Caenorhabditis elegans: one gene and its partner. The protein of the gene in region 2 interacts with the protein of the main gene of each other region in a pairwise test. Each region holds a gene or a part of one and is shown on either strand. Other genes may lie near its edges. The genes, in order: sad-1 and nab-1.

Region 1 (15,127 bases), on a different chromosome or scaffold from region 2:
TTGATGTTGTTGAGTTTTGATCGCCATGGACCGCTAGTCGACCCAATGCTTGTCTGACTGTTACCAGCTATCAAACTATTTGTTGACGAGTTCGTAGAATTCATCGTACTACTAGACACTACCACACTCTCCGACATGACTGATGGTGGGCTGTACTTATGGGGCTGAAAGTTCAAGTTTTTTTTAAACTGTAAGCATCCTTTTTCTTACCACCGAAGACGTTGACGAGGCATCATTTTTGCAACTACTACTACTGGCACTTTTGTCACTTCTGTCCTTGCTTTCTTTTCTAGACGACCCTCTACCGCTGTCTCTGCTCTCCCTCCGTTCCTGGGCGTCACGTACGTGACGTGCTGCTTCCGCAAGAGTCTGTGGATCGACTGGTTGAGTGTAGTAATGATAGCTGTTGGTGGACCTAAAAACTAGATTTTAAAATTTTCCAGGAAACGTTAATTTTTCTGAACTTTGCTCAAAAGTAGAAAATGCTTATCAACACTTATCATAAAGCTTCTGCAAAATGCATTTTATCCCACCTTGAAGCAGATCGCCCTCTATCCCGATCTTCTCCAGCCCTTGCAGAGTAAGATCCGCTAGACGATGAACCGAACAGATCTCTAGTTGAACTTCTCGGTGACTCTGTAGGAGAACCTCCCAAACTTGAATGCCGTCCAGACTTTTGATTCCTTCCATACGTTTTTCGTGGATTGATCGGACTTCCATCAGCAATGCTTCCCATGGGATATCTTGATGTTCTCGAAGAATCCGTCCGTTTTTTAGGCGGATCGTTGTTCTGGGCGGCACCGCGCAGAACGATTTCTGTGTCGTCTTCCTGTGCAGGGCGCCGTCGTTTTCGATCAAGAAGGAGAAAGTATACCATCTTTTCAGTGTTGTGTCTAGAAAAAGTGAGCATTTAATATTTTTAACTATCGTGTACTTTTTTTATAACAAAACTTAACCATTACATTTTATAGTAAGAAAGGTTTTCGAAAACTTACTTTGGCGACAATAATTCATTAATCAACTTCTGTTTGTCTTTGAAACATCCTAAGCAGTTCATATGCCTCAAGACATCCGGATCAATCGAATCTTCACCAGGTATTACGTGCGTCTGCACAACTTGTGACATTGGAAGCTCCAATTCAGGATCTGCCTTTGTTGTTCCGGATACCCATGGATGTTTGAACACGTCGGCTAGGGAATATCGTTTCCCCGGGTCTACTTCTATCATTGCCCGCAGTAAACTCTGCACATCAGCAGGTACGAAATGTGGGATATGAAAAACTCCACGTTTCACTTTTTCGAGAAGATTTCGGAGATTGTCATCATCAAATGGAAGCGCACCAACTAATAATGCGTAGAGGATAACGCCACAACTCCAAACGTCTGCTTTTCGACCGTCGTACTTTTCACCCTGAAAATGTAAGTTGAAACAAGTGAAAATGATTTATAACATACCCGAATAACTTCTGGACATGCATAATGTGGAGATCCACAACTCGTCTCCAACATCGACCCTTCCACTTGCAGACTAGCCATTCCAAAATCTGCTACTTTTATGTTATTCCTCTCGTCTAGTAATAAGTTTTCCGGTTTTAAATCTCGATGACTGAAATTTAAATAAAATTATATTTTTTTACCAGCCGTCAGAAAATTGTTTTACCAAATGTTATGAGCATGGCAAAAATCGAGCGCAGAGATGATTTGACGAAAAAACTTTCGCGCTTCTTTCGACATCAGCCGTCCTTTCCGCACAAGGTAGTCGAACAGCTCGCCACCGCTAACATGTTCTAGTAGCAAATATCTGAAAAATTAGGCTTAAAAATGTTTTGTGATGTAATAATGCTAATGTAAAAGTTATTTGGTTTTTTTTTCATGACTACATACCACGTGTACAAATATTCAAAAAATAGTTCAAAATCAAATATTAAAGATATTGTCAAATATCAAAAACGACTTCATGGAGTGTAATTTTTTGTTTTTAATATTATTTTTTCTTATGCTTCTTCCACGACTCCTGGATTTTGGAATGTTTTTTGTTTCTGTTCAGTTTGATGAAAATAAAGCGAATAAAGTTTTTTTGAAGTACTGTAGGTGACAGTTTTTTTAAACAGAAATTCTACTTAAACGCTTTAATCCAAAACTAACTTTAAATTTCGGATTTAATCACTTTTCGAATGTAATATTTTATTTAAGTTCTAGAGACTTATGCAATTTTTTAATAATATTGTTTTGTGTGTTTTTTTTAACTAAAAATACAATTGTTTTAATAATGTTTGGCCAAATAATCAACATTGTTGAGTGAGATGGGTGCTACGTGCCAAACTACTTTAGAATAATGATATCGAATTTTATGCAGCTCCCAGATTTGAGTCATGTTTTGTTTATAACTTTAATAAATCTTTACTATACTTTAATTTTTCCAATTTATCACACTTTTGGTAATCACTTACAAATATTTCTTATTTTCGTAGACATCGTACAAATGAAGCACATGTGGATGCTCTATCAACTTCATAATTGCAATTTCTCTTTCGACCTGCAAATTCCATAAATTATGGCTCTGTTTCAAACAAAAACCAATACATTTTTAATGTATGGAAATTTATACAATATTGCCACTTTTCATACGACCACTTTCTACTTCATCAATTTTTTCATCCTCCATTTTTGCCACTCTTTCATTACTCTCCAACAACATATATGCTTTACTCGATGTTGCTCGACGAGCTCAGACAAAACGCCGAATAGAAAGAAAACAGCGTTTTTCGAGATGAAGAAGACGAGAAAGGACAAATGTAAAAGCGGGAGAAAAGAGGAGAAAAGGCGATTGGTTGAAAAATGACAGCATCCGTAAGACACACATTCAAGAACCCTGTGTGTGTGTGTGTGTGTTTCGTTCTTTTTTGTGCCGTTTCGAGAGGAGCAAAAAATACGTTGCACAGGGTATATATGTGCTCGGGGAGCCGGAAGAGGATTAGCGACTGAATAAGAAGTGACACACTGTGATGATGATGATGACGTGGAATCACAAAGAACATGGGAACGGAAACAAAATTTTGAGAGTTCACAGTTCTTTTGTACGGCATCTACACCAAGGGAAACATTTGCAGAATATGCGCCGAATGTGAACATTCATATATGAGCAAATATTTTTGATTGGAACATAAGAACATTCAAGTTATTTTAAAATTTAAATATTATCTTTCTATATAGCAATCATTTTCTTAATCGAAAATTTGAAGTAACAACTAAAAATATTACCTTTTGTAGAACAGATTCACTGAGTTTTTCTTTGTTGACTATCTTGATTGCCACTTTACGGCCCGTAATGCAATGAGTTCCCGTTTTTACCAACCCTGAAACAATACATGTATTTTTTCTGCAGCTCCCGTCCAACTCCATTCAACAGTTCAAGCTAAGAAAAGAGGCTCAAAATTCGCTCATAAATAAGAGCGGACAGCCGAGAGCCCTCGAGTCAAAACAGTCATTTGCATATTCCAAAGCTTGCTTATATTTTTCTTGTAGCAAATGCTACTCTGGGGTTAGGCCCCATGGGAGAATTGCAGTTTTTGGAACTTAAATTACTCGGTCAACAACTGAATGAAAACCGCTTACCAGTTTGACCTTTTCCAAGCGTCTTCTCAAGTTTGTATGGACCGCAATATTGAGCCTGCGCCACTGGACGCGTCGATACAATGTTTTCCGACATGATTTTCGAGCTCAGCTCATTATTCACGGCCGCCAGTTTGCTATTTATCTCTCCGAGGACTTCCTGTAAAAATGTTTGTTTTGAAATCGATGAGCAATAAATAATTTTTTGAATTAAATTGTATTAAGAATATTGGACTTTTACCAAAAATGCACAATTATCATATTACGCGTGACAGTAAACTCCGGATCAAATATTAAAACTTATTTAATAGCTTGTATTTCATTAATAATGTCATGGGAATTTATTGTTTTATTTGATAACATTTTCAAAATTTTTGGCTGCCGGGAGAACTTTAATGAAAAGTCACTTTTTAGTAGTTTATGGGCCAAAATTGTTTTTTGATGGTGCAGGGTAAAACTTTATGAAGACTTATTTTTGACCACGAAAAAAGGTTCTCGAACACTCTTAAGGACATAATTTTTAGCTTTCAAATTGGAATGAAAAGTTGATAATGACAGATATATGGGTGGTAAAAATTGCTACCCTTGAGAAAACTAAATTTTCAATTCAGAACTAAAAGTTATTTTTAGCCGAGTTTTTTTTATTTGAAAATTATTTGATTTGAGCAATGCGGTGGTTACTATAACAATCAATTTGAACTACATAACTAACAAAAATTGGTACTTATATCCGTTAGCTTTAAAAAATATATACCGTATTTCCCATATTAGTATTGCACCTCATTGTTCAACTTTGTCAGCTTATATCTCAGTTATCGTTTGTCCTATTCGAAAATAGTCCAATAACAAAATATTTGCTATTGTTTTTCTGTCATTTTGTTGTTAATAATATATTGATGTCTTCAAAATGAACTTAGATATTACGTTTCAAAGTTAAGTAGTCGGGTGCAATACTAATGGAGGAATCATTTCGCATGGGAACAGTTTTATAAATCAATAATTTGAGGCAAAGTGTTACCTAAATAAAATTTATAGCGTCTCAGCAATGCACATTTCTCTTACTAGTACAGTCCAATTTAAAGTTGGTGTATTTATTGATACAAGATGTTCAAATGAATGAAGAGGCCATAAAGCTTTGAAAGGAAAAAAAATGGGGGGGGGGGGGGGGAAGCAATGGAAGATGGGTGGTAGGCTTGGGATGGAGGGTGTGGTGATGGCGCGTTGAAAAACAAAAGGCGGGAAAGAAAAAGAGCCAACACGCCCCATCCTCTCCGTTTGTCATGTCCCTCTACTCGAACAAGCCGCCAGCTTTTCCAGCCTCCATCACTCTATTCTATGGCCACCAATTTATTCTGTACTAGTTTTATTGCAACCGAAGCAAATAACTATCATGATGGTGTCAAGAGAGCATGGGCCTCACGATGGAGCCAAGAGAGCTTCTTATCCCAATTGTTTTCTCATTGAGAGAGAGAGAGAGAGAGAGAGAGAGAGAGAGAGAGAGAGAGAGAGAGAGAGAGAGAGAGAGAGAGAGAGAGAGAGGGAAGATCTTTTTTCGGGAGTGGGGCTCCAGGAATTTTGAGATTTTTTGAGATTTTTTAGATTTTTTATATAAAAATTTGAGATTTTTTACTTTCAATGCAGTAGCTGTACAAAAATTATGCCTACTGAATTGGACTGAGATTTAAAAATTTTCAATAATAAAAATTTCCAGACTCGAGAACACAAAAAATAGCATTCCATTACACAATTTCAAGTCTCGTTACGCGTTTAGCTTTTTCAGACAGCTGTCAACAATTAGTTTCCTATGGAATACCAGTTCCTCCACTGGAAATAGAAAAATTTTCAGCCAAACATTTTTTAAGGAAAATACAATTTCAGTTTCAAAAATAAAATTACTTATATGTAAGCATTTGAGATTGAAAAAATATACTTAGCTTTAAGAAAAAGTATCTAGAAAAATTAACAATACAAAAAAAATTATAAAAAATTACGATATTTAGTACTACTTCAGCACTTGTAAAATTTGAAGTGCTTTCAGCCGAAAGGGCTATTAGAACTTAGAATATTTATTTTTTTGAACAGACAAAAGTAAAAAGAAATAATCATAGGGCATTTGTTCTGAAACTGAGTTAGAGAAATAACACTCACTGTACATTGACTTCTTGTAGACTTTCTGACAAATTTTAACATACGAAAAATATTGAATGTATAATAATAGCAGCAGTAATATAGTTTCACACAACTAGGCGTTGGACGTACAAAACAAAAACAAAAAAGTCGAGCACTCGTCAGGTTTTTAGAGGTTTTTAGAACAAAAGAGCACGTCTACGCCGCCCTTTCCGTAGTGCCTTTTCTTGACGACGATAACGGGAGGTGCACTAGCTAGCGAATGTATGGAAAATTGCAGGTAGTCGATGCATGAATATATGAGAAAACCGCGAATGGCGTGGCGACGAGATGACTAACTGAGCTCGCCCCGTTTTTTTCTCTCATTTTATGTTTGCGATGTCTACCAGCAATTAAGTGTCCCTTCAATTTTATTTTCATCATTTTTGAAAATTTTAATGTTTTATGACGAGAGGGTATGTTTTTTTTTTCATATTTTTGTATAATCTGCCAAGAATGCGGAAATTCGAAAAAAAAAACATTTTTTAAGTTATGAAAAAAAGTTTGGATCAAAGGGACGGTGATATATTTTTCACTAGTATTGAGTGGGCGACACAAGTTTTCAGAGGTCAAGCTATTTCTTGCGGACCTCCATTGATGTCGGCTGCGCATAAATTTTTGCATGCGGCTAAAAACTCGTGCAAAATGGAAAATTGAAAACCGAAAACCGAAAACCGAAAACACCAAAAAATTTAAGTTTGATATACAATGTTAATGCAAAACTTGCCAGTCTACCCTAGTGCAGTCTGGTACCAATGCACATTTGTACCTGGTGAGATAATCTGACATAAATCAAAATTTCTCAAAGTAGCGTTTACCTGAGAATGTTTGAATCAGCGTTTTATGATGTTTCTGTGTCACACTGATCAAATATCATTAAAATCTAAAAATCATTTCCCCTTTGAGCCAACTTCAAAGTTTTCAGAAAACAACATTTTGAACCGCCATAAACATTTTTTTTAATTTTCCAAAAGGCATCGTTACAAATTGGGTGTTTTGGAATTTTTTTCAATATAATATCGAGCAAATTCTAACTCTACCATTGCAATCAAGTGCTCCAAATCATTGCCGATCAAGAAGTCAAAATTTACGATAACTAAGAAAGGTTTAGGTTTTTCAAAAAAAAAAACTTTAAAATTAACTAATAGAAGCTTAATCAGGATAAAACCAAACAGAAATACTTTTCTACATTCGAAAATTCTTCAAAAATTATGAGATTTGAAAATTCGACACTTTAGAATAGAAACGGTGAACAGTAACAAACATCTTGGTAAAAGTTTTAGATAAACAATGGGTAGAAATAAATTTTCATACGAAGATATATTTTGAACAAAAAAACCGTACAAAACAGGCGATTTTACCCAAGATGAGTCAAGACGGTGCTCCGATTTTCAGTCCAATTTTGGTATGACAAAAAGATAAACTTACAAAGCAAGGTTCGCTGGGAATAGGAGCCGGAAAGCTAGTATAATAAGAGTCCATTCTCGGTTTCCTCCCTCATTCAATTCTCAAGGACGTCAAGTAGAAGATGAAAAGGGTGAGAAGCACCGTTGGCACACCGGAGGCACTTTGAGAAAAAGAGGCGAAGATGTATTAGAGGGAGGAAACGAGGAAAAAAATGGGGGGGGGGGAGGAGGAAGAGGTATCCGTATCCTTTTCAATTTCTTCACTGACTTTGTTCGTCTTAATATTGATTCGGTTCGTTGTCTGTGCAACAGAGCTGCCGAAGCTCGAATGGGCTTAGAATAGTGTGTTGTATACGGCTCGCTTTCGTTTTCTCCTTGCGAATGTCAGTTCATCCGTTTCGTTTTTTTTCTTCCCTTTTTCCCCCCACGCTCTTTGTCTTTTTCTCTCACCTCATCCCCCGATGGTTTTTGTAGTGGGTGGTGGTGCCAAAATTGGAAGAGAATTAAAGACAAAATGATGTGGCGTCAATGAGAAAACGTATTAACTGGGGGATTCAAGAGAGGTTTTTTCTTATAAAAAATGTTTAGCAGCAGAGGAGCACTAGGAAACAGAGAAAAGTAGTTCGGAAATTTTGTGAAAATGCTCAGATTACTTTTCTCTGACAGTTTTCCCCAAAAAAAACCCGCCAAAGTGTTCACGTACCTCTAGACAATCGTCAAATCATTTAATGTCTGTAAATTCTCACTTGGAACAATTTCACGACTCTTAAGTATGAAACAATGCAATGGAAATATTTCATACTGGTTTTTACATATTATATCATTACTTATTATACAGAAATTGCGAAACATTTTTGAAATCAAGAACTCGAAAGGCTTTGGCAAAATGATACAATAAAGAGCCAAAGCCGAGGGGATGGGGGCTCTCTGACTCAGAGGGGTGGCTCAAATTCAATTTCGGGATTCCGAGATTCGTGGATTCAGATTCAAATTCGGACTTTCATTTTTCGTTTTTCCAATTTCATCTATTTCCTCTTCTTGGAATACACTCAAACAAATAACAGAAAACAATATGATTTAGAATTGAGGAGAAAAAAAGATAGGTTGGTTAATTTTGAATTATTCTCAATGGAACTATCAAATCTAGCTCTTACGCTTCAATAATATAGATTTTTTTACAGGAAAATATTTTGATTGTGTATATTAAGCCAGGTGGAAAGAACAAGGAAGACGTCACTGACGTTAGCGGTCTGACGCGTTTTGAGTACAAATTTCTATTTAAAAACTTGTTTTGGCGATTTTCAAAAAAGTCCTCAAAAGGTTTTATTTCAAAAGCCATAATCAAAAGTATTTTAAGAAATAGGCATAAAAGCATAAAACCATGTGAAATATTAACAAAAAATGTATAACACTCAAAAAGATTTTGTTATTGTTATTTTTTAATGTTATTTTTAAAAAAACTCACAGCATTTTTGCCAATATTGTCTATAATTATTATGAACGTTTCTGAGAACTTGGATATCAGGCTTTTTCCCAATCGAAAACTGATAATGATTAAAACCACCAAAAAATAAAACAAAAATCGTACGCTTTAAATGTAATCTCAACTAGAAATCTACCAAAACCGCTCCCAATCCTATCATTAAAATGCCTCTGAAATGGGCGAAAGTGGACAAGTAGGACGTGACTGAATAATGTAGTTTTGCCTGCCTCCCCCCAAATTCAAGTTAAAAAGAGCATGACGATGGAGCAAATGCTCCAGACTATTCCCAATGCGGATTAAGCGGGGCTCAGGCGGCTTCCTTTGCACCCAGAAACACGTGGAATCAAAAGTCGACTGGACGTCATTACGGCGAAATGAATGGATTATTAGAATTGAGGGACAGAATGTGAGAAAATCAAATGATTAATAAAGTTACGCATTTACCAAAATTTGAACTATATTCAAAATTTTCAATACAGTGTTCTTTTTTTTTGGAAAACTATTAATTTAGAAGATAATTATCTTTTTGAATTGTCAATTGCATAATATTAATGAACCGTGCATTAAAATTATTAATAACTATTAAGTAATCATTAAGGGTATTAAGTGATCAGTACTTTTCAAGTTTTTTTAAAATTGTACAATTTAACAAAGTCTGAGTCTTTTTAAACTTTAAAAAAAGTGACATCACATTTGATCATAATTTAGAACAACCCACTCAATCAGAAAAAAATCTGTACTCACCTTGAGAGCTTCAAACATGTGCAGACTTTGCCCGATTGACGAGCGCAGTCATGCGGCTAAGTTTTAAGCTTCCTTGGATTCCAAACGGGGATTTTTTTTGATTCTGCTCCTGAGCAGCTTTCCTGGTTCTGAAATCTATAGTGTTGATTTCCGTTTATGGTACAAATGTTGGAAGTGACGTTGAGAGAACGATTCAAATGCGAGAAAAACCCAACTTGTCATATTTCAATGAATTGGCAGGAATTTAGCAGTACACAATGCACACAGAGCACAGCTCTTTGCACTGCTACTGCCCTGGGGAGTACTCACTAAAAAAAGTGAGAGATGCACAGGCTTCGAGAGAATCAGAAAGGGCCCGTTAAGAGGGATGGGATAGGAAAAAGAAGTCCATCCATCCCCCCAGTGGTCCTGACAAAAAAAGGATCAATAAAAAATTGGAGAAGAGGAATCGGAAGGAAATCTAGTGGAGTGCTTCGCAAGAATTGTTAGTTTTCCAGATATAGTAAATGCCAACAACGTAGTCTTGGTTATGGTTTTTATACCGTATTTTTTTCTGGAGCAATACTTATTCTGGATGCCTAGGGAACGCAATTACATTAGAGAATGCAAAATAATTTCTGAAGGCCATTGAATAAAATATGTATAATATAATTAAAATCCTAATATATCTGATGCGACAAATTGAGGAAAAGAACTTTGAGAAAATATTTTTTAATAATGAAAGTTCAGAAAAAAAATACTGAAAACGATCTATACGAGAATTTTCTTTCGTATTTGTTAAAATTTGATACGAACCGATTTCAACTGTAAATATGGAACTCTTTTTAATTAAAAAAAAACGTACTTCAAAATTTGCGAGAATGTAAAATTCTGAACCTTCAGTTATTATCGCTGAGTTTTTTATACGTTTTAAAATTTTAGGTATCCTGATTCATGTAAGACCGCTGAAAATAAAGTTTCAGCCCCGAGATTTCAATTCAGTTAATAGGAGAATGCAATACTGATAGGAAAAATAATAGAAAGTGATTACCAAAATTGTGTTAAATTATCAAAAAAGGTGGAGTACCGAAATCTGCGACTTTAAACCAAAAATGCCCCAAAACTACCGAATTATGTAATAAGAAATTTTGAAAAGTACTCATAAAAAGTTATCACGTTTCAAAATTCTGGAAATCAAAGCTCATGTTCGACTAAAATCAAATATTTTGCCAACTTCTTGGTGTCACAGCGTCTGGAATTTAATTTTTATCAATTACCACTATTTCATAAACATTGTGTCCAAATTTCCAAAATGTTGAAAAATATGAGCTTTTTACTAAATTCAAAGCAATGTCGCATGTTCCTACCCCTACAATGTTTTATTACAATTTATTTGAACAAAGTATAAAATACGTAGGAAAAATTTTTCCTTCGTCGACTTCTAAAATTATGAGTGGCAAAACTGAGTAATTGCCTCTTTTTGACAGTTAATAAAAAATTTTCAAAATTTATTTGAAAAGTTTTATGATGATATTTGGTCATTTTGGGTCCATAGAAAGTAGTTTTTAACAATTTACCCACTGGCGCTACTCCACTTTTAATATATTTCACGTTGGAACAGTCTTCTTAATTTTCTAGAATAGAGTCTCAACTAGTTAAGTATTTTCTGAGTGCACATTGCACCCATCAAAATTCTCATTGCGTGTCATAATTTTCAGGTTCATTACTTTTCTTCAACTTTTAAAACTCATTCAATGTTCATTGCTCTTTAACCAGACAATGAAATTAGGCAATAAAACTTGTGAAAAAAAACAAACTACTAAGGAAATTAGAACGTGAAAGAACAACAAAAAAAAAGAGAGAAAAAGAAGAAAAAATTTGGAGAAGTGGCTCCAGGGGGCTAGCGTGGTCGCGCAACGCTGCCTGCCTACTCAATAGCACGGACGATAAGCCGTTGTGGGAGTGAAGACGAAGAAGGCTTGGGCTCTTTTCTCACTCTCAATTTGGCATGCTCATGCTCTCTACATGGCTTTCCTCCTATTTTTCTTTTACGGAATATAGGGTATGCGAGTAGGAACAGAATGAGAAAGACGAGGAGCAGAGAAGAAGAGCGGGGTGGGGGGGGACTTCACTGTGTTATCCAAGTAGTAGTATGCAGTGAATGTAACTACGTGAACCACACCACAACTGAAAAAAAAGAAAAAAACGGAACTGCTAGAATAAGTCAGCAGCTTCCATCAGAATGGAATAATCATTTATGTACATACTTGTTTCTCATGTTGCAAAATGAAAACATACAAAAACTGACTTTATCAAAAAATCGAACAATTTTCCAAAAAAATATCTTTTCAGCTATTTCACAACAGAGTAATTGCAAACTCATGAGTCAACAGAAATTAATCTTGTTGTGTTTCTGTGGTTAAGACCAGACTAATGACAAAATGGCTGGCGAAATGCTGAAAACAAAATTGACGGAATTGTCCGAATATTTAAAATTTGGGTGTCCGCAAAATTTCAGAAAAATATTTTTAATTTGTTCACACGTATATGACACATGCTCCTAATTAACTATGTTCCTAATTTTTCAACAACACCAAAATGTTTCCCAAATTTTGTAACTTGGTGAAACCGTTCAATAAGCATTTTTAAACGTTATATATGAGTGTGATACTATTCAGCCATGAAAAACATTTATAAGTATATTTGAAAAATTTTTCCTATTGCTGTACATATATTTTCATGGATATACTACATTTAAACAACTAATTTTTTTAGTTGACTACAAATCCTTTGTAAAACTAAATGCATTTGTCCATAGAATAAAATACTCCAAATTTATTAAAGATTTTTCATAATACCCGGTCAAAGTTTTGACAAATTGCCAAAATTTTGAAAAATATGAGCTTTTGGGGAAATTCAAAACAATGTCGAATGTTATGACCCCTACAATGTTTTATTACAATTTATTTGAACAAAATAAAGTATAAAATACGTAGGTAAAAAATTGTTTTTTGGTCGACTTCTAAAATTATAAGTGGCAAAAAATGAGTAATTGTCATTGTCATTTTTGACAGTAAATAAAAAATTTCAAATAGTTTTTGAATAATTTTTTTGTATAAATAGTTCTTTTTAATACCATATGAGTGGTTTTTAATGCTTTCCCCACTGGCGCTACTCCACCTTTTAGATTTTCAACCTAATATTTTAATATTGTGCTACAAACGAAATGGTGGAAATTGACAAAGAAATTGATTCAAATTAGAACAGTTTTTAATTTCCGCCCAAACCTTATTGTTTTTTGAGTCGTTTTTGTTTTACCTATAAGTAATTCTTTTGAAAAATATTGGAGGTTTTCGTTTTTTGTTATACAAATTTCAACACAATCGCTTTTCCCGGAAATGTGTACTTTACTGCTCATTGCCTCAGTTTCCTCCACCCGTTCCTGTCACTTAATTGGTTGGGTAGTCATGGCCAAAGAAAAGTGTAGAAGAGCCCACAGAGAGAGAGCGACGAGAAAATAGCAAAACGGGACAAAACACGACATTATTATGGAGTGGAGAGTATTCGCCCCGGAAAAGAGGAAGAAGCACGGACACTTCGCTACCCGCGCGGGTCCCGAATTAATGAGGTGGTGGTCGCTAGTTTCCCCCTCACCCTGTCCGTTGCAAAAGCTCCATGTTGAATATGAAATGGAGTGAAATATGTGTGAGAAATGGATTTCAACATGTACATATTCGTTTCCGAGGTCGTTCGTCGAAAAGTAGTACGAATTATTTAGTGTTGTAAGAACAATGGGCAAGAACGTTTAACGAATCGAGCCCAGAATAGTTTAGGAGGTAGCGAAAACGTGAACAAAAAAAAGTGTGCAGAAGATGAAAAATGTAAAGAGTTGGATGAGGACGTGACGGATGGATTGAAATTTGAGTTCTTCTTCGTCTTTTTATTTTCTTTCAGAGTGCATAGAATTGAAGGCAAACAATAGTTTGAGAGAGCCGCTAAAGCTTAACAAGAGCCTAAAGGGTCTAATATGAGTTTTATCAAATGTAAATTTTAATAGATATGTCTGGTGAACTAAAAATTGGATTTTCATTATTTTAGTGAGATAGTGGTTCAAAAAACCCTCATTCTTCAATACATAAGTTTTCATTAAAGGTGGAGTAGCGTCAGTGGGGAAATTGTTAAAAACAACTCCCTCGGTCCAAAAATGACTGAATATCAATAAAACTTTTCAAATAATTTTTGAAATTTTTTTTATTTACTGTCAAAAAATGACAATTACTCATTTTTTGCTACTCTTAATTTTGGAAGTCTACCAAAAAAATTTCTACCTAAATATTCTATACTTTAACTTTGTTTAACTAATTGTATTGAAACATTGTAAGGGTCGAAACATGTGACATAGCTTTGAATTTCCTCAAAGCTCATATTTTTAAAATTTTTGGCAATTTGCCAAAACTTCGACCGAGAATTATGGGAAATCTAAAATTATTTGGAATGTTTTATTATGATATTCGGTCGTTTTGGGTCATTATAAATGTATTTAGACAGAATCCATGGGCGCTACTCCACCTTTAATATTCAGAATTTTGAGCACTGGATAATTTTCAAAACTTGCTAAGAAAATGCATATTTTTTGATAGTTTTTTGTATTGAACAGCTGAAAAAAAAGGTTATTGCTCATTTGAGTAGGCTAAACTTTGATGCTCAATACAAAAACAAAAAGACGAAAAAATGAAGCTTCAACTTGATTCAAGTGAAAGAATGTGAAGAAATGTCGTCGAGCTCGAAAAAATTGAGAAAATGTGAAAATTTGTGAAGAAGTCGTCTGTCAGTTCGTTTTCTTCTTCTTATTTTTTGTCTTCTCATTCGTTTTCGTCGCAATTGAATAAGAGGAGAAGAAGAGGAAGGAGCTGAAGAAGCACGGCGGGAGCTCAGAAGTGCTAAATGAGTCGGGCGGCACTCTCGTAAACCAGCTTACTTTCGAAGATTCAAATGGAATTTTAAAATTGAACAAGAAGATAAAATACAGTGATAAATGGGGAAAACCTTTTTTTTTTTGTTTTTTGCTGAACTGAAAAATCATACCGAAGGAGTGTAACCTGTAACATAGCGCTAGCGGAAGTTTTGCCAAAACATACTCAAAGTGAGCTTAAGAAATACTTTTTTCAGATTTACTGTAGGTGAGTTTCGAATTTGAACAAATACAGAATTTCAAGTTTTTTAACGTATGGACCTTTGTTTTTTTTACAGCATAGAAGCTACTTCACTAGATTTATTCAGCCAACTTTTGAAGAATGTATATAACTTCAAAAGTACGCGGAAATTTCGAAATTCTTCAAGACGATCTAACCAGATCTAACCAATGTTACTCAGAAAAACAAAAAAAAATCTATAAAATGAACGAAACCATTTCATACAACTTTTAGTTTTACAACACTACAGTTTTTTATTTGAAAAAATTTATTTTGCGTGATTTCCATAACTATGAAGTTCAAAGTTACACCAACCAAGTTCCGGTGAAAACTTCAAGTTAAAAAAGCACTACCGTTAGTGCAATCTCAGTAGTACATCAATAAAACGACAAAAACGATGAAAAAGAGCGCACCCATTTCATTTTCATTTGGGTTACACATTTCATCACCACTAATGGAAATCGGGTTTGACGAATGGCAGGGTGATGTAATCCGGGAGCGTGTCAGAGTGGGAAGAAGAAGAAGAAGCACATCTGCTCTTTTTC
Region 2 (18,334 bases):
TTTTTATTAAAAGTTTTTCATGTGTGCGGCAAATTTTAAAATTTGCCGAGTTCTTCAAATTCGCCCAACACTCTTGGTTCGTGTGAATTCATTTTTCAATCGAAAATATTTTCTTTTAATACATAATTGTTTTTCTCAAATTTAAGAAAACAATTACAAATACATATGTCATTCACAACTTTTGAAAGATATTTTATGGAAAATGAAAAAAAGAACACTGTTTGTTGTTGAAACTTACAAAAATAGTTTTGCAGCAGAACAATTCCAACAAAATTCCAAATAATTAAGATTGATCCCCAATATTTGAGGGAATTTTTCACTACTTTGGGAACTTGTGAAACTGCTCTAAATATACATTTTTTTAACACAAAAAAGTTCGAAAACCTTCAAATTTTTTCTGAACCCAGCACATGTTGAACAAAACCTCTAGTACATCTTTAAAATCTTCCCATCCCGCAGCTCTTTTCACTTTTTATAACAAAATGTGTCACGGAATGCATATTGTTCATTTTTTTCCCTCCCCTGCCACCGCTTCTTTGCATATTTTATTTATTCAACTTTTCTCCTTTTTTTTGCTTGTTCCTTTCCTCCTTATTTCTTTAAAGTAGATGAAGGGGGAAAAATAAGATAATTTGTATTCTTATTCCCATCTGGCGATTATTTTCGAGCCGCTAAATCGAATTTGAAAAAGATGAGATGAAGAAGTGGGAGAACATGAAGAAGGAGATGATGATGATGTGAGAGAGAGTGTGTGAGAAGGCGTTGAAGCAAGAAAAGAGCAGGTTGTTTTGATTTTGTACTATCAAACATAGTACTAGTTTGACATTTTTAGAAGAGCTGCTCGACTATCTATTTCTTTTTAAGATTTTTTTTTTTGGATTTTTGAATTCGTCGGAATAAAAAATGATTTTTTTACAAAGCTGAATGTTACGTACCAAAATGTTTTTAAACTTAACTTTTCCGACGGATTACTCTGGAAGTGGGCAAATTTTTATTTATTCTGAAAAAAAAAATTTACAAGAGTTGCCGAGTTTCCTGAAAAATTAGGTTTAGTCTTCAAATTTTCAGCTTCTTCGTAATAAATTGCAGCTTCAGTTTTCGTTTTTTTTCTATTTATTTCTTTTTTTCAAAATTGCATACCAAAAAATAAATCACAAAACCTCAACAAATCTGTCACCAGTTTCTCATTTCCCAATCCTTTTCCTCAAGAACATATGGTACAACACAAAGTGCTCTAACCCATCACTTGCTCCATTTTTTCGTGCATCTCCTGGTGTTCTAGCTCATTTGAGTCACTTATTCCGTTATTTATATCTATTCTCTATGCATCACTCAGTCTCTCATATTTCCTCAATATTTCTCACGTGCAAATGAATGACATCGTTTTGTGTCGTCGTTTGGAGCTCAATGGGAATGGAGCAAAATGTCCGGAGCGGCATTTTTAACTAAAAGAGAGAGAAGGTGATGACTGGTTATGACTGAGAATTGGCTAATTAGCTCGGAATATGAACGGGAAGAGCATTTAGCTTGTGCTCATTGAGCTGTCAATCATAGTATTTCAAAACGTTTTGTAGTTCATAAATAGGTTTTCTGAATTATTTATCATATGGTTCACGCCACAATCTCGAAATCTGACCGAAAAATTAAATTTTAAATTTTTTGCAGCCTTGTTAGTATGTTTTATTTTTAACTGCTTGAACAGTATTGAGTTACATTTTCTAATAAAATTAGTTGCTTTCTCAAGTTATAGGACTTTAGAAAATTAATCTTGCACCCATATAGACCAATTGAAAATTATTTTTTATTTTCAAATATTCTATTCAAATTTATATTACGAATATTGTAAAGTTGCTAGATATAATAATAAAACATCATAAAAATAGGTACTTAATTTTTTAAAATTTTAAGTCAAAGGGAAACTCCGTTTTCACCGCCCCAATTTTTGGAACTCGACACAAAAAACTGTCAGTTGTATATTTTAATTTTTGGCAAATTGCCACCAAAACTTTGAAAATTTTGTAAAATCTGAAAATTTGTGCAAAAAGTACCAAATTTTAAAGTAAAAAACATTTCAAGCAAGAAATACATAAATTATTGTAATGGTTTTAAAGTGATAATAAAAATTTCCAAATTGTTTTTTTTAACTTGGAAAATTCAAAATAAATCCATTTGCAAATTTCCTGTAACGGTCTATAATTTAAAAAAATTCTTTTGAAAAAAATTTTCCCTAAAAATTTGCAAGTGTTAAACTTGGTAAAGTTTTGAAAAAAAAATCTTAAATCTCGCCACAAATGTACCAAATCCACCAGAGCGGTGAGGTTATCAGTATTTGTCAAAATTCTTAAACTCCAAAATTTTGGCAATTGCTCGAAAAACAGCACTTTCTATTGCCGAAGTTCAGACTATTGCAAAATTTATATTTTTATTAAAATTTAACTCTGTTTGAGAAAAGTACTATAATTTTCCATTTATAGTGAAATTTTTGCATTTCCCAAACTATTTTTCAAAAGAAAATTCACAACAATATGCAGCTCGGCAGCTAAAATTACGGTAGGAGTGTGAAAAAAAAACGAGAGATGAAGTCTGTGATCTACTCACAATTTTTGCAAATATTAAGAGAAGGAAATAGGCGTTTAAAAATTTAAAAATTAAAAATTTAGTGGCTTCTCTCACAGATCTAGGCTTCCAACTAGATCAGTCAGTTAGTCATTTTTCCGTTTATTTTTGACGCGTTTTTTTCCGTCAAAACCTCCTATACATATTGAATTGGAAAGCAAAAAGGGCGAAAGAGAGAAGGACGAGTAGCCAGTGTCATGTCCACTCGAAATGGGTCTCTCCTTCTCTCAGAAGGCGCGAAGTGTATTGGAGCATGATTGGATTGTGCTCCTTTGCTGCGTGTGTTCCACCCGTTTACCACACCCCTTCTGTTCATTCTGGCCTGCAGGCAGCTGAATTCTGGTTATTCAACCCGTCTTCTCTCCCATCTAACCCATTGCTCCGTTCGTTGTGCTCTTTCTACCCTCACATAATTCGCGCGTTGTCCACTTCCCGTCCATTTTGTGTCTGCGTCTAGGCGTCAATATTCCAGAGATTATTACAACTCCCATTGCTCTCAAAACTGTTAATATGTCTCCGTCTCCTCTCTATGCCTCGGGACCCTTCATCTCCCGGTGACTCTCCATTCTAAATCCCGGCTTCTCCTTCTTCTTTTCCATTGGCTCTTTCTAATGCATTATGTGATGGAAACCCCGAGGCGCCGGTCGTTGTTGTGTTTTACGTAATCCCCCCTACCCTACTCGGTGATGCCATTTTTCGATTTTGTCATGTAAAAAGGATTCCACTTCCAAAATTTTTCGGTTTCGAAATTTTCTATTTTTGGCTATTTTTGTTTTGCTTTTAGAATTTTTAGGTTCTCTGGAAAAACCAGGATTTTACTAATAATGAATATTTTTTCTTAGATCCGATTTTTCGTTTTCGCGAAAACTGGCTTTACAAAATTAAATGTTTTTAAATAGATAAATAGCTTGGTCACCAATTTTTCTAATTCCTAATTTTTCAAAAAAAAAATTCAAAAACCGCTTAGCTGATTTTCCAAGATTTGAAAAGTTTTGGAGGTTATTACCTAATTTTGCAATGCTTGGCATCCGGTCTCGAAGCGACTGATTTATTAAATTCGAAAGAGCCTGCGCCTTTAAGTAGTACCGTAGTTGCTAACTTTTCGTGGTTGCAGAATTTGCAAAGGTTATTATCCTTACTATTAGTTTTTTTTTCTCGTTTCTTTAAAATTTGATGTAATATTTATACAGTTTCACATGTTTTCCTATTAATTTTAAAGGAATTGAACAATTATGTTTCATCGAAGATAAAACATTTCGAAAATTTCGAACACGATTGCTTTAATTTTATGTTGAAAATAATTTCCAATTGTTCCCATTCCCAAAAGACTCTCTAAAATTTGTTTATAATTTCTTTTCTCTTTTGAAATAAATCGATTGAAATCTGACACCCCTAGAAATTTCTGATGCAGTGTTCTAGTGCCAGATGACTCATAATCCTTCTGCGTTTCCCCTTATCACTTTACACATGACAATTTTTTTTGATTTTTAAAATATATTCTACTTTATGATTCATCAGGTTTCATTTATTTTTATTTTTTGGTGCAGAAAAATAAAAATAAAAATAAAAAAGCGACCAGACACCCCACACTTTTGACTCGTCACACACTAATCCAATGAATAAATCAGAAGACTAGCACATCCTTTATCTCTTTTTTTGTCAAATGCTTTTTTTTTTCAATTATTGTAATTGAAAACTCAAAATAATATTTTTAAAGTTTTTCTAATCTTTCTAAAGCTTTTGTGGTATTTACAAATATATTTTTGAAAATTTAATGTTTTCTGAGTATCGAAAAATCTAAATTTTCGATCGATTGTTTGATATTTTCGGTCATTTTTTAATTTTTTAAAGACAGTTTTTTTTTAAATTGAAATACAAATAATTTTGAAACCCCAATAGCTTCCCAGTTACTTTTCTTTTTAGAAAACCTGAAAACTGAAAATTTGAACATTTTGTCGAAATTTCTAATAGTTTATGCTTGTATTTAGTTCCTGAATATATTTTTTAAAATAAAGCTTTGAAAAAATGGGCAATAGTTCGAAAAATTTCCTGCTACATAAAAGAAAGTCCGAGCAAAAATAAATCGAAAATTAAAAAAGAAATTTTGACCCGAACGTACTTTGTGTAGTTTAATGTTTGAACAGTACTAGTAATAAATGTGTAAACTTGAATACTTCTTTCTCTCAGGTGACTAGTTTTTTATATTCTCAATTACCTGTGACTTTTCCAAAAACAGGGAGGATTTTATTCTTCCGCAAAGTAAAAGAGTCCATAAAAAAGAGAAACAGTTGGCAAATCTTTTCTCAATGTTTGTTTCTGTTTTAAAGTGTTGGTCAACCTCCCTCCATCACTCTTGACCATCATTAGCCGAAAGAATGAGTACAAAGTGAGCGCTTTGTTTGTAGTATTTTTGAATATTTTCTTGTAAGCTTAATTTATCAATTTCAAATGCTTTGACAGGAAGCTGAATATCTGAAAATTTAAAAACTTTGGCTGAAATTTCAAATTTAAATTATTAAATACTAACAAAGTAAGAACTTGAATTCTTATTTTCATACTTTTTGGCGGGAAGTTGGAATTTTTAATTTCAAAATTTTCAGTAATTTTTTCACAGCATTGCCGGAGAAATCTCAAACTTGTAGAATTCAATTGTTTTGACAGAAAATTCAATTTTCAAAGTCTCAAAATACTAAGCGGAAATTCAAAATTTAAGTGACTATATAAATTGCCTGCTTTCATACATGCTTTCTATCAAAATTCTTGCCCGAAAACATAAACTTTTAAAACTATATTTTAGAGCACAATTAAGATTTTAATTTTTCTGATTTTGATATCAATTTTATTTGTTTTTTGGACAGAAATCCAATGTAGAGTTTTGTGTAAGTTTTGATGGGGAATTCAAGTTTTATTCAATATTTAATTTTTGCAAGAAAGCCAAATTTTAAAATTAGCCTGTTTTTATTTTAATTTTCAAACCATTCGAAAATTCTCAAACTTTTTGGTCTGTACTTTTTCCCGAAAATTATTAAATTTTATTTCTTCAAAGTTCACATCTTTTGTCGGAATTCTTGTATTTTTATCGTCACCCTAAAAATTTAACCATCTGTCAACCCTCTCTATCTGAACATATTGCTCTCAAGTACATGTTTTCCTGCAAGTGCTTCTCCTAATTCATGTTCCATTTCCTCTTTCCGTCTGTTCTTTTCTCTAATCCTCTTCTACATTCCTATACTATTTCCACCTTTCCAATCTCATCAGAATATTCATCCAGGCGAAATGTTTCCGTATTTTTGATTGTTCGAGTTGATAACCTTTTCTCCGTTATACCTTTCATTCAATTCATAAATGTTTACTCACATATTGCCACTCCTTTCCCTGACTCATAATAACTGTACCCCCATTTTTTTGCAACGTTTCTTTACTTAGTTTTCTTTCTATTTTTTTAATGGTTGCCACACAATTTTTGTTATATTTTCTCCGGATGTTTTCCACTGGCTTCCAGCCCGTTGCGCACTTTCATTCCGGCTCGTTTATTTTTGTAGACATCGTCAGTTTCTTGACATTTCTTATTCTTAAAAGTTCAAAGTTTATTGGAACTTGAAAAAAATCAGAGTTTGAATTTTAAAAATTTTTTTCAGCATATTTTTTGCAAGTTTAGAGATTTTAAATTCCAAAATTGATTTTTGCAGAATTTTTTTGACAGTTTTTTTTAAACTGAAAATGTAGTACTCAAATCAATAGTAGCCAAAGCAATAAAAAAGGCTTGAAAATATATTCCCACCTGAAACAATTTGCGCTCGGAAAATTTAAATTCAGCCAATTTCAGCAACCTTCGTCAATTTAAGAACACCCTCCAGTATAGAAGCTGGGTTTTTTATTTGCAAACTTATCTAGAATGCTGAAAGAAAACTCGAAAAGTATTGCTATTTGTTCCAGATTTTTCCATATTTTTCACACTCATTTCCCAAAAGCTTCTGGCTCCAAGTAAATATTTTTCCAATTTTTTGCCAGTCCGTAAATATATCTATAGCCTCCCTCGTCGTCATGTTTACATGCTCAATTCCATCCTCATTTCTCATTATTTCCTTCATTCATTCTAAAAAATCTTTTCTTAGAATGGACACTTTTAATTTTATATCTGTAAAAATAAATATGTGAAAAGAAAAGTGAGGAAAAAAACAAAGATTGAGAGCCCCCGTTCTGTGATGATTGATGAATGTCGGGTGTTTGAGAATTTTTCATCAAAAACATACTTTCCTTCATCTCTGATTTTTTTTTGGATTTTAAGGATATGTAGAACATTTTGTTTTCCTAATATTTCAAAATAAGATTTAGTTGAAAAATAAATTCAAACATCAAACCTTATTGGCCGACACCCTCACGGTCAAATTTGCCTATCTGATACCCTGAAGTTTGAGCTTATTTTTTTTTGGTTAAATTTTTTGGGCCAAAAAATCGGTGGTCCAATTTCGTGACTTCAAAAAAAGTATTCAAAAATACTAATTTTTTGGATCAATGTAGAGCGCATTTGCACTGATGTACCGTAAAATATGGCGAATTGATAATTGAATTCAAAAATGGTTCGGCTGTGCGGTTCAGATAGGGCGAGTAGAAAGGCGAATAAGAGGTGCCTTCCTACGTCTAGGAACACCTCGTATCTGTGATCTAACTTTAAATTTTTATCCCCAGAATTATTTGCGAAATTTCTGATTTTTGCGACAATTCTAATTCAATAATTGATTTGATTATATCGAGTCTAGACTCTCTATACTTTTTGGCACCTTTTCCCTTTTAATCTCCTTTTTTCTTCCACTTTCCTCTTGCCTCCGCTCTGAATCCGAATTTCGCTTTTCCTTCTTCACACAAATGAACGCAATCCAATTAGTCCTCATCCAACCACCCCGTCCGGTGCCCAAAAACCTGATCCTTATCACAGTTATCACCCGGGAGACGAAAAAGAATATAATTATGAATAAATAGATATTTTCACTTTCCCGTAAATCCTTCTGTCATTCCTCTTCTTCTTCTTTTCTCCAAGCCTCGGAAATATTCTAATCAATTCTGAAATTGAAAATCTCTTCAGAAAAGAAGACGTCGCCGGGACAACAACAACAGCAAGTGGGCGGTGCATGCGTCGTGCGCACCGCTGCTGATAACAAAATAGTGTGCGAGACGGTGAGTCGCAGACAAATCTCACGGGGGAATATCATTTCAGGTCATTCCAACCGGAGAAGACATGCGCGCAAAACGGTCCTTTATTGTTAAGGTTATGCAATATCCTCGGATATTGACACCCTTTCCCGTACCGCCCGTTCGCTCCTCAGTTCCCCTAAACTGATACGAATTATATCCGCTCCCCAACCTTTCCACCTTTTGAAAAATTCAATTTTACAGCTGCCTAATTCAATCCAAACAGCCGAGATGACAACGGCTTCCGAGCTGCTGTCAGACGACGCAAGAGCTCGATTCTCACATACAAAGGCTCTTTTTGAGCAGCTTGAGAGACAGCAAGACGTGAGTTTTTTTTGGATGATAATAATTGGTTTCCGAATTTTGAAATCATTTTGCTATTTTGCATTACGGTTATTTATTTTTCTTGAAAAAACTCACTAAATTGTGGATTAGAGCATATATTCCAGAATTTTTATGCAATTTTTCGCAAAATGATTTTCCTGGCTATATAGATCAAATCTGTAGCTCCCTATGAACAAGTTTTGCCTGCTAGTAGATTCTTCACTTAGGCCTTCAAAGAATAAGTCCCCTCTCTTGATTTGATCTATGAAAATTGCTGGAATTTTGCTCACAGGAAAAGTGAAAAAGTATGACGTCCCCGCTCTTTAGATCACCAGCTGAAAAGTCTGCGTCTAAATTTGGCGAAGTTTTCGGAGATCATTCGGAAAAGAGATACTCTGACTACCAGTTTCTGTATCACTTCACAGCCTCACGTTTAAGAAATTTGACGTCACGTCTGAAAAATGTCTGAAAAAGAGGTTTCCCTATGATCAAGTTTTGCTCAACAATTATTAATTTGGGTCAAAAGTTGGAAACACTGTCGACTTGATTTAGACTTCTACCATATTTATAACTCAAGTTTTGTTAAACACAGCTTAAACCCAGTATTTTCAAAGTCTTGCCCAAATTTTGCCAACTTCTGAGCTAATAGTAAGCTAACTTTTTCAAACATCAGATGCCCGCCACGCTTTTTCCAAAACAAACTCTAAATTGGGCAAGCAGACTACTGTAGTGTCAATTAAAAAATAATGTTTCTAGGTTCCATCATTCTACTCTCCACGTCTTCAACGTCAACCACCACCTCCATTACCCCCAAAACCTCCATCTCAATGTCCGCCGAGTCCGATGTCACAGGTATGTGTGATCAAACAATCACATGGCTCTCTTTCTCTCTCTCTCCTTCTCTTTCTGTTTTCTGGAAAAAGAAATGGAATTTAAAAATTCAAAGACTGTGTCAGTTAGTCAATGTTTTGTGTCTCCAACACCCCCGTCTCTGTTATACTGTTCGGTTGACTAATCCGCTCATCGATAATAGATTCAAAAATAATGGCATTTACTCATATCACACACACACTCCTTTCCCCCATCAGACACACACGCATATAACACATAATCGAAAACTCGAAAACTTTTCCAGGTCGAACGAAATTTCTCTGATTTGGCCGCGGATCTCGATCGGATCCAATCATCGCCGGCAACGTCTAGGTTTATACAAAATAAGTGAGTTGTTTTTTTAAGGATTTGTTACCATACCATAACTTTTTTTTAATTCTCAAAAAAATGTAACTGTAATTTTTTTTGATCAATCGCAATTTTCTCCATTCGGTTCGCGGGCCAAAGTATTTTAATTTTTTTTGGTAGTTACAAAAAGTCGCCTGCAACTAGATTTCAGAAATTCTAGGAAACTGTGCGAAATTCAGATAAATTAGTTGAGAATTTTTTTAAAGGAACTTTTTTGAATTTTCAAATCGAAAAAAAAACCAAAATCTCTGTTTTTTCTTTAATTTCAACTAACATTCTTCTTTGCTTCATTATCAGCTTCGCATGCCTTTTCTTTTTCCAATTCAGATCATCAACTCTTCCGTCATCATATTCCGATTCCACACAGCAGTATTCGTTCGAAAATACGGTTGCCACGTCGCAATATGGAGGACTTCAAACCAACAACAATAATAATAATATTAATATGAATTCATTTGAACCCTATTGGAGAAATGGATCAATATATCGGAGGCAATTCGAAGGAAATGGCAAACCGTATGTGTTTCGCTTCTTTTATTTTTCTTACTTTCTCGCATGAGTTTCTTTATTTTTCTCTATAATAGTTTTTTTTCTTGCGCTGAAGTATTTTAGTTGCGACTAACAAATATTTGTGTTTTTTCGAAAAAAAATGTGGCCTAGAAAAAACCAGAAACTTGGCCAGCATATTTTCTTAGATTTCTCATTCGGGATTTTTTTTGAATTTGCTAAAAAAAAGATCCTTGTGACTTTTCCAAAGTACAAAACTAAAAGTAAAATTTTTGATTCATTCAGGAACACGGTCTTCTTTGGATCTTTCAGAATAGTGATGGCACATAATATCTTGAAATTTTCGAATTTTTCAATTTGAAAAATCTATTAAGATTACAGAAATTGCTAAAATAGCGTGGCCGAGTTTTCTCACATATCGGCTCGTTGGAACCGTAAAAACCCTTTTCAAGCCCATTGTTGGCAAGCTTATGAAGGATCTATCGTAACCTTAAGTTTTTAAAAAACCGCACTGTGTTTGTGATAAAAATTCATTTAGTGTGTCTAGATATATTTTTAGAACGCCGATTTTTTATCGGACATTCACATTTTTTAAAATTTAAAAATTTGATACGATTTGCGCCAGATTGTTTTTTTAGTAAATTTAATATATGCAGGCACCTGAAAAAACCAATCATTTCATGAAAATGAGTTGCTGTTAATATAAATAATCAAATTTCTTCGATCAAAACTTTTTTTTCAGTTTTGGCGAGGAAAACGATGGAATCTCACCAACGACGAATGGAGTGAAGCACACGACATACGCCGTCGTCAAAACACCAAAGGAAACAGAACTTGAAACAACATCAGAAAACAGAGGACTCATGGAAACACGGAGGGGTCTGAGTCCAGAGAGGCCTGACGTGGATTTAACGAATCGAAAGGTCTCGTTCAGCACTGCACCTATTCCGGTAAGATCACCCACTTTTCCCATTCACTCATGTTTCTTTGTTGTTGCAAGTTTGCTCTATGGAATGTATGATGTTCAAAATAATTTTATACTTTTTCTAGGCCAAGACAGATTGAAACGTGGCCGAGAAAAATCTTTTTGAAACTATCAATAGAGCAAACATGCATTCACTGAAACTTGACCACCACAACCTAACATTTCCTTTTGTTTACATATATGTGGCAAGGTGATATTAATTCATTAATAGATATATCTATACAATCTCGAATTAGGTCACCTTATTGATATGATAAGAGATGAGGAACAAGAGAAAAAGAGAAAGAGAAAGCGATCTTCATTTGCATAATATCTAAACGTTTTCACTTTCAGGTCTTCTCGGCGTTTTCCGTTGAAGACTACGATCGCAAGAATGAAGACATTGATCCGGTGGCAAGTTGTGCTGAATATGAATTGGAGAGACGACTTGAAAGAATGGATTTGTTTGAAGTTGATTTGGAAAAGGGTGCCGAGGGACTTGGAGTCTCTATTATTGGTTAGTGATTGTATTGTGGCTTACCATAACTTAGAAGCCTTGTATCTCGGTTACAATCGGATGTTGCTCACAGTTTCTGTTTCATTTTTATAGTTGGAAACTTTCTTTTCTCGGCATAACCAAAGATAACCGAGATATAAGCGCTTAATTAAACTTGAAGGAATGTCAACCTGAAGCTACTGTTTAGGAAAAAATTATATGCTTTCTGCCTGCCTACGGTTTTCGGATAAATTCGTTATGTTTCAGGTATGGGTGTTGGTGCAGACTCGGGTCTTGAAAAGCTGGGAATCTTTGTAAAGAGCATCACACCTGGCGGAGCTGTTCATCGAGATGGACGAATTCGTGTCTGCGATCAAATTGTTTCAGTCGATGGAAAGAGTTTGGTCGGTGTCTCACAGTTGTATGCTGCAAACACGTTGAGATCCACCAGCAATCGAGTCACTTTCACAATTGGTTGGTTTTTTTTGGAGTATTGTGCCGAACGCGTATGATATATTGCATTGATGACTCCGTGAAATAACACAAATATTTTTGTGTGCAACAGCGACTCAATACACCATATTCCGCGCAAGCGTAGAGAAAAAAAGCATCTAGAAAATATTTCAATTATGTTTACCAGTTATCTTCCAATTTAAAAAAAATGTATTGCAGGTCGCGAACAAAACCTTGAAGAATCCGAAGTTGCTCAGCTAATTCAACAAAGTCTTGAACACGACAGAATGAGAATGATGGGAGACGAGGAAGACGATATCGAAGAGCCGCCACCACCACCATCTCAAATGCCACAGCTACCAATTGAACAGGATCGTCCGACAACTTCAATGATCACAAAAGAAGAAATTGAGATTCGTTCGAAGATTGCTGCTCTTGAACTGGAACTTGATGTTACTCATAAGAAAGCAGAGCAATATCATGAAGTGTTGAGCTCAACGAAATCACATTGTGATCAACTGGAAAAGCAGAATGAGCAGGCAAATTATATGATTAAAAACTATCAGGAAAGAGAAAAAGAGTTGTTGAATCGAGAAGAGAATCATGTGGAACAATTGAGAGATAAGGATGTACATTATGCATCATTAGTTCGTCAATTGAAAGAACGAATTGATGAGTTGGAATCGAAATTGGAAGAAGCTGAAGAGAGAAGGCATTCTATTCAGAATCTTGAGCTTATCGAGTTGAGAGAGAAGTTAAAGGAGAAAGTTGAGAAGAGGAATGAAGGAATGGCGTATAGACCAGGTGGAGAGCTTCCTCACGAGGATAAGGCTGTTATGGTTAATTTGGAGACTATTGTAAGTTGGAGAAAATATGAAAGAACATTCATCTTCAAACTTCATTCTAAAACAGTTTTCACATAATGCCTAAAATTAAGCTTGAGCGTAGGCCCTATGCCTAAGCCTAAGCCTACGCCTAAGCCTAAGACTAAGACTAAGCCTAAGCCCAAGTAAGAAACTAATTATAACACCCATTTTCATTTCCAGACTCCATCAACCAAAAAAGATGCGGAAGTATCAGTTGGAAGTAGTTGGACAGAAGAGTACTCATCACCATGCGAGTCGCCAGTCCCTCGTATCTCCGAGCCAGCATCTCCGGCTCTTCCACATAAATTGACGCATCGCAAACTTCTGTTCCCACTCCGAAAGAAGTACGCCGAAAACGAGTTCTGGCGTGCCACGTGTCAACCAGTTGGTCTTCAAGCTCTTCATTGGACGGTGGACGATGTTTGTCAGTTGCTCGTTTCAATGGGCTTGGACAAATATGTGCCAGAGTTCACCATTAATAAGATCGATGGAGCCAAGTTCCTCGAGCTCGACGGAAATAAACTGAAGGTGAGTAAGATGTATACGATCCCGGCGCAAGAAAACTCGGGTAGAAAAAAAAAACGCTGCAATTACATAACGAAAAGTTAAACTATTTCGTAGGCACCAAGGTGCTAAAATTTTTTAAACTTTTCGGTTTTTTGGGTAAAACCGAGAAAAAGATTCCTGAAAATTCTGAAATGAATTCAATATTTATGTTACACTCTATTTCATAAAAACAACAGAAATGTCACTTTTCGAGCAAGAGAGACTGAACTTTTGTTTTTGATTTTTCAGTTTCTTGTGCCAAACCCAAAAACCCTTCAGGTCTAGTAGGCACAGTCTGCCTACCTGAAAAGTGCCTAGAATATACAAGGCTTAAAATAGGTGCATTCTATAAACCTTATGTGACGTCAACTTTTTCAAATTTTCCACAATTTTGGGAAATCACACCACTTGAAATTGTTTATCTGAATCAATATTTTTTAGGCAATGGGAATTCAAAATCACTCGGATCGTTCTCTAATTAAAAAGAAAGTAAAAGGAATGAAGAATAAAATTGAAAGAGAACGAAAACAGTTGGAACGAGAAAGCCGTACCCGAGTCATTGCACACACAATTCCCATGTGATTTTTTCTGTCTGATTTTGAAAACTATTAAATTATAATTATTATATTCTCACTGCGAAAAAGTATACGAAAGTCTATGGTTGTTTTCTATATATATTTTTTTTCGCAAATGTTATCCATTTCTCAAGGTTGTTCCAAATCGCCAATCCATGGGTTTCCCTTACTTTTCCCCTAATTTGTTCAGTTTTTCAACGCCTTTTCTTTCCATTTCCATCCTCATAGATTCTGCCGTAATTCCCCCTTTTTCATGTTGTCCACCAAAATTTATTTATTTTTTCCCTCTATTTTTTCAAAGATGCACCACCAAAAAATTGTGATATATTTTTCTGACACTTTCCCCCTCACTAACAATCATTTTCTGACCAATAAAACATTGATTTTTATTTTAACTATCAGCTTAATGTTACTTTTCCATTCTTCCTGGCGAGACAATCTGATGAAGGAGATCAAAGTGGATGAAGAAAATGATCCTCATTTGAAAATAAAGATGTTCTACATTCGCATATTTTTATTTACCTTTATATTTTTCAGATCGAATAAACGGTTTTCAATGTTTAACAAATTTTCAATAATTCTCAGTCTTTGGGAATTTTTGTTTTTTTTTCAGTTTGTTTTCTAATATTAATTTAAATAAACTTGATTTTTCTTTTTAACAAAATCTTCAAATTTTCGGTAAATCTATTGGTTTTTTTTTCAATTTTCAAATTGAAAATTTTCAATAACTTTCGGTCATTTCTCCATTCTTTTTGAAGCAAGTTTCATTTTTTTTAAACCAAAATTTGATTTTCAATTTCCATTGAACATTTTTCTTTCTTGGCCAAAATTGAAATTTTCAATAATTTTCAGTTAGTTCTCAATTTTTTTAAACGAAAATTCCGTTTTTTTTCGAAAATCAAAATCGACAAATTTTAGATAAATACGTATTACTCATAGAACTCAAAAAATCTAATCTTCTGTTATATCTCTAATTCTTCGAAGAAAAAACATGTTTTTTTCACCAAAATTCGATTTTAAAAATAAATCGAAAATGTTCGCTTTGAAATTATTTATTTTTTGGTCAGAACTGTAATAGATTTTCAAGAATCAGGGAAAACGGGATCTCTTTCCGTCCGGATGACTAGTCTCAATAATGATTTGAAATGTACAAACAATTTCTGATCAAAATTATTTTTTGCCTTTTCACTCACGTGATAACATTTCAAAATTACAAATTGTTGAAGTCAGTCTAGCGACCTTCTCGTGGCCCCCTACTGTATTTGTTATTCTTTCCACGTATCTTCTCCACATCCACATCATAATTAGTCAAATCAATTTATTCTGAATTATTCTTGTCTCCAAGGTTCAAACAAAAACTCAAACGAGAACGGAGTTATAATGGCACCATCAAAGTCAAAGGAAAAGAAGGATAAAGCAAAGACAAGCCGTCGCAAATCCGGATCTCAAGCCAAGAAAGATGTAAGTTTGATATTTCAGCACAGGATCAGGAGACTTTTCTTGATCAATTCCTCATATATTCGCATTTATGCGCTAGATGAGCACACAGTTAATTTGCGATGGATCCATTGAGATCAAGGATTCACGCGCGCCTTGTTGCATGATTTCGTGGAGCACATGTGCATCGTGCGTCCATGATGTCAATGCTGTAAGGTTCCTGAAGAACACATCGCAAATTAACTGTGGATAACTTTTAAAAAATGAGTGAGAACTTCAACTACGAGAATTTCATTTCAGACAACAAGCACCGTGTCTGAAGGACAATCGCCAACTGAGGTGGCTGATCAGCTTTTGAAAGCAAAGAGTCGCCCTCAAATGTACGACCTTCTAAAGGGACATGCTGCATTCAATGTGCCGGAATTCGTCAAGAACCTGCCGGTAAATGTTCGTTTGCCGATCCCGATTAGAGATAATCGGCGCGTTCTTTGCGGATCCGATGAGGAGTTCTTCCCAGGACAGTACGTCAGAATGGAAGGAGCTGAGTACATCATTGTGCAGGCGCCGACCAAGAAAAGCTCAAAGCTGATTTGGAGAGTCATTCTAAAGGTTTGTTATTTTGTTGAATTTTTAAACATCATTTCAAATTTATTTTCAGGATCACATCAGAATTCTTGTGTGCTTGTGCCACGACGAACAAATGAGTGGTTCCGATGATGGAAAGTGCTATACATACTTTCCAACTGAGCTAGAGCAGAAAATGGAAGCTGAACTGATGAAGGGAACTCTTTCCATCGTTTGCAAGGCTCGTGAAGGTCTTAGCATGGGAGCAACCAAGTATGAGCTAGAGTTGACTGATAGTGAAGTTGTGATCGATAAGAACAGCGATGATCCGAATGCATCGAACTATAAAAGTCACCGACTCATCGTTTTCCATATGAATACTTGGTCTGGACAGAAGCCAACTTCCGGGAATGCTTTGGAGCAAGCTCAAAACGTGGCTCTTTTCTTTCGTGAGGTCAAGAAGTTTGAGATGGACGTGAGTTGAAACTAAAGACTGCTGCAAATAATAACAGTTAATAGATTCTGCGTAAAAGTATGGAAAACTTTGTGCCACCAGTCATGCTCCAATCATTCGATGGCATTAATCGTGCATCCACTGGTTGGGTTGCTTTGATGTTGTTGAGAGACGTCGAGAAACGAGAGTGTTTTGATGTTCCAAGCTTGATCAAAGCAATCATGAAGTTTCGAAATGGATCCATCTCCACCTACTATCAATTCTGTTTCTGCATGGCTGTTTGCTTGAATATCGGAAAGGATACAAATTGGTGCGCAAATGTGAGAAATCTCATAGGAAATAGTTTTCTTTAACAAAAATAACATTTCAGGATTGCAGCACGGCACTGACTGATTTGATGGAAAAGTTCGGCAACCGTAAACTGAATGAACTCGGGAACTTGGCAGTCTAGAGAAGAAAAATGAGCCTGAACTGAGAACTATTGCAAAATAAAATGTTTGTAGAATCGTGCTTTTCTGTTATTTTTCAGTATTTTCAGCAGACTGACTATGAAAATCTGGTTTTTTTTAATTCTACACTCTGAATGAGTAATAGTATTTTAGTCTCGCCACGAAAGTTTCCTGCAAAAAATTGATAGTGTTTTGCGCCTTTGAGGTTACAGTATCCAAACCCAAATTATTATAACATTTCAAAAAGTTTTCGCGACGAGACCATTTCTATTATCCAATGAGGCAACTAGAAACATCAAAATGGAATATTGTAAGTTCTCAGTATCAAGGAATTTGAAGTGGCTTGTGAGAGGATTGCACATCTTTCGATGCACCATATCCGTAATTTTAATGTGTTTCAGAATGCGAGAACTGGCGAACGGAATCAAGACAATTGAATCAAACCATTCTTCCTGGCAAGACAATCTGATGAAGGAGATCAAAGTGGCATTGCGTAAATGAAGAAAATGATCCTCACTTGAAAATAAATATTTTTTTAATCAGCTTTATTTTTAGAACATCAACTATTAACCTAGAAATATACACCCGAACTAGTAATAAAATAATTCAATTAATCACAATAAATCCTTCGAATGTGTGTCAAACTGATGGAAGGCTGCAATATCCGCTGGTTTCAGTAGGTGCTGGTACAACCGAACTTTTCCATACATTGGCTCCGAATAGTAGGTGGCGCGATGAGTTGGTTGAGTTGGATCAACGGTAACACGATCAGCAGACATTTGACGGAGCGGTTGTTGCAAGCTGTTTTCATCTGAAATTAAATTAAAAAATTAAATTTCGTGGGAATTAGTTTGGAAAACTAGGTTGAAATTGGGAAATTGTTCGATTTTTCTAGGCAAAGCTACATAAAGCTTATTTAAAATATTTAAAAACTACAGTAACCTAATAAAATTTAGCTCGTGGTCACGGCCTCTCTTCATTTCAAAAAATAAATAAATTGACGTGATGAACTGTCTCTGCGTCTCTCATGGGCGAGAGAGTGAGCTTTTTGAGCCGAATTTGTACTGAAAACGGTAAAATAGACCGGAAACGGCTGATAGTGAACAAAATCTAATAAAAATTTACTAACTGCCTGATCAAACACATATAAATTATATGAAAAAAAGGGCAAAATTGTAAATCACCTATGAATACGCCCACATGTGAAAGTTCAAAATCAGTGATTTTCCAGACAAAACTGTTTAAAGCCGGCGATTCGCTGATAAATCTTTAAATTTTTTATTAATATATTGTCAATTAAGACTAAGTGTGTCTATTTTTATGCAAATATCTAGGTTAGTGATGTTCACGACGCCGGCAGACGGAAAAACAAAAGGCTACCTCGAAAAATGGATTTTTTTTGGGACCTCTAGTGATCCTTGAAAAGAGAAATTTGAAAATTGAAGACCACCATTTTGTAGATAATTTTTTTATGATTATTTTCTGTTTTTGATGAAGGTTTTTTGATGAAAATTGACGTCGGCATCTTCAAAACAAGAATTAGGCCTGAAAACTCCAAAAATCGTTAAAAAACGACAATTTTTGGCGGGTTTTCCTAATTTTACGAGACGCACCAAGACATAATCAAAAATTCAACATCACCAAAAGTTGCAAA

The links.
Region 1: the proteins of nab-1 (region 2) and sad-1 interact in a two-hybrid assay, tested with the Caenorhabditis elegans proteins (one study listed by BioGRID).

Annotation. Positions count from the first base shown.
Region 1 is NC_003284.9:13,491,124-13,506,250, forward strand, and holds the start of sad-1 (Serine/threonine kinase SAD-1), read right to left. Parts: upstream 9,540-15,127; 5' UTR 9,430-9,539; coding exon 9,412-9,429; intron 5,022-9,411; exon of another isoform or gene 4,713-5,021; intron 3,773-4,712; coding exon 3,616-3,772; intron 3,357-3,615; coding exon 3,262-3,356; intron 2,537-3,261; coding exon 2,451-2,536; intron 1,802-2,450; coding exon 1,661-1,801; intron 1,607-1,660; coding exon 1,456-1,606; intron 1,412-1,455; coding exon 996-1,411; intron 894-995; coding exon 534-893; intron 416-533; coding exon 211-415; intron 165-210; coding exon 1-164. UniProt on the Caenorhabditis elegans protein: Regulates both neuronal polarity and synaptic organization when bound to strd-1. Kinase activity is required for the establishment, but not the maintenance, of both processes.
Region 2 is NC_003279.8:4,221,878-4,240,211, forward strand, and holds nab-1 (Neurabin-1), read left to right. Parts: upstream 1-7,699; 5' UTR 7,700-7,791; intron 7,792-8,008; exon of another isoform or gene 8,009-8,010; 5' UTR 8,011-8,037; coding exon 8,038-8,130; intron 8,131-8,886; coding exon 8,887-8,982; coding exon of another isoform or gene 8,983-9,066; exon of another isoform or gene 9,067-9,265; coding exon 9,266-9,348; intron 9,349-9,696; coding exon 9,697-9,885; intron 9,886-10,618; coding exon 10,619-10,826; intron 10,827-11,194; coding exon 11,195-11,357; intron 11,358-11,603; coding exon 11,604-11,810; intron 11,811-12,008; coding exon 12,009-12,646; intron 12,647-12,835; coding exon 12,836-13,183; intron 13,184-13,642; coding exon 13,643-13,783; 3' UTR 13,784-14,163; downstream 14,164-18,334. Other genes in the region: C43E11.5 (Tyrosine-protein phosphatase domain-containing protein), read left to right, coding at 15,157-15,237, 15,514-15,822, 15,872-16,252, 16,297-16,551, 16,602-16,682; ndx-7 (Putative nudix hydrolase 7), read right to left, coding at 17,295-17,491.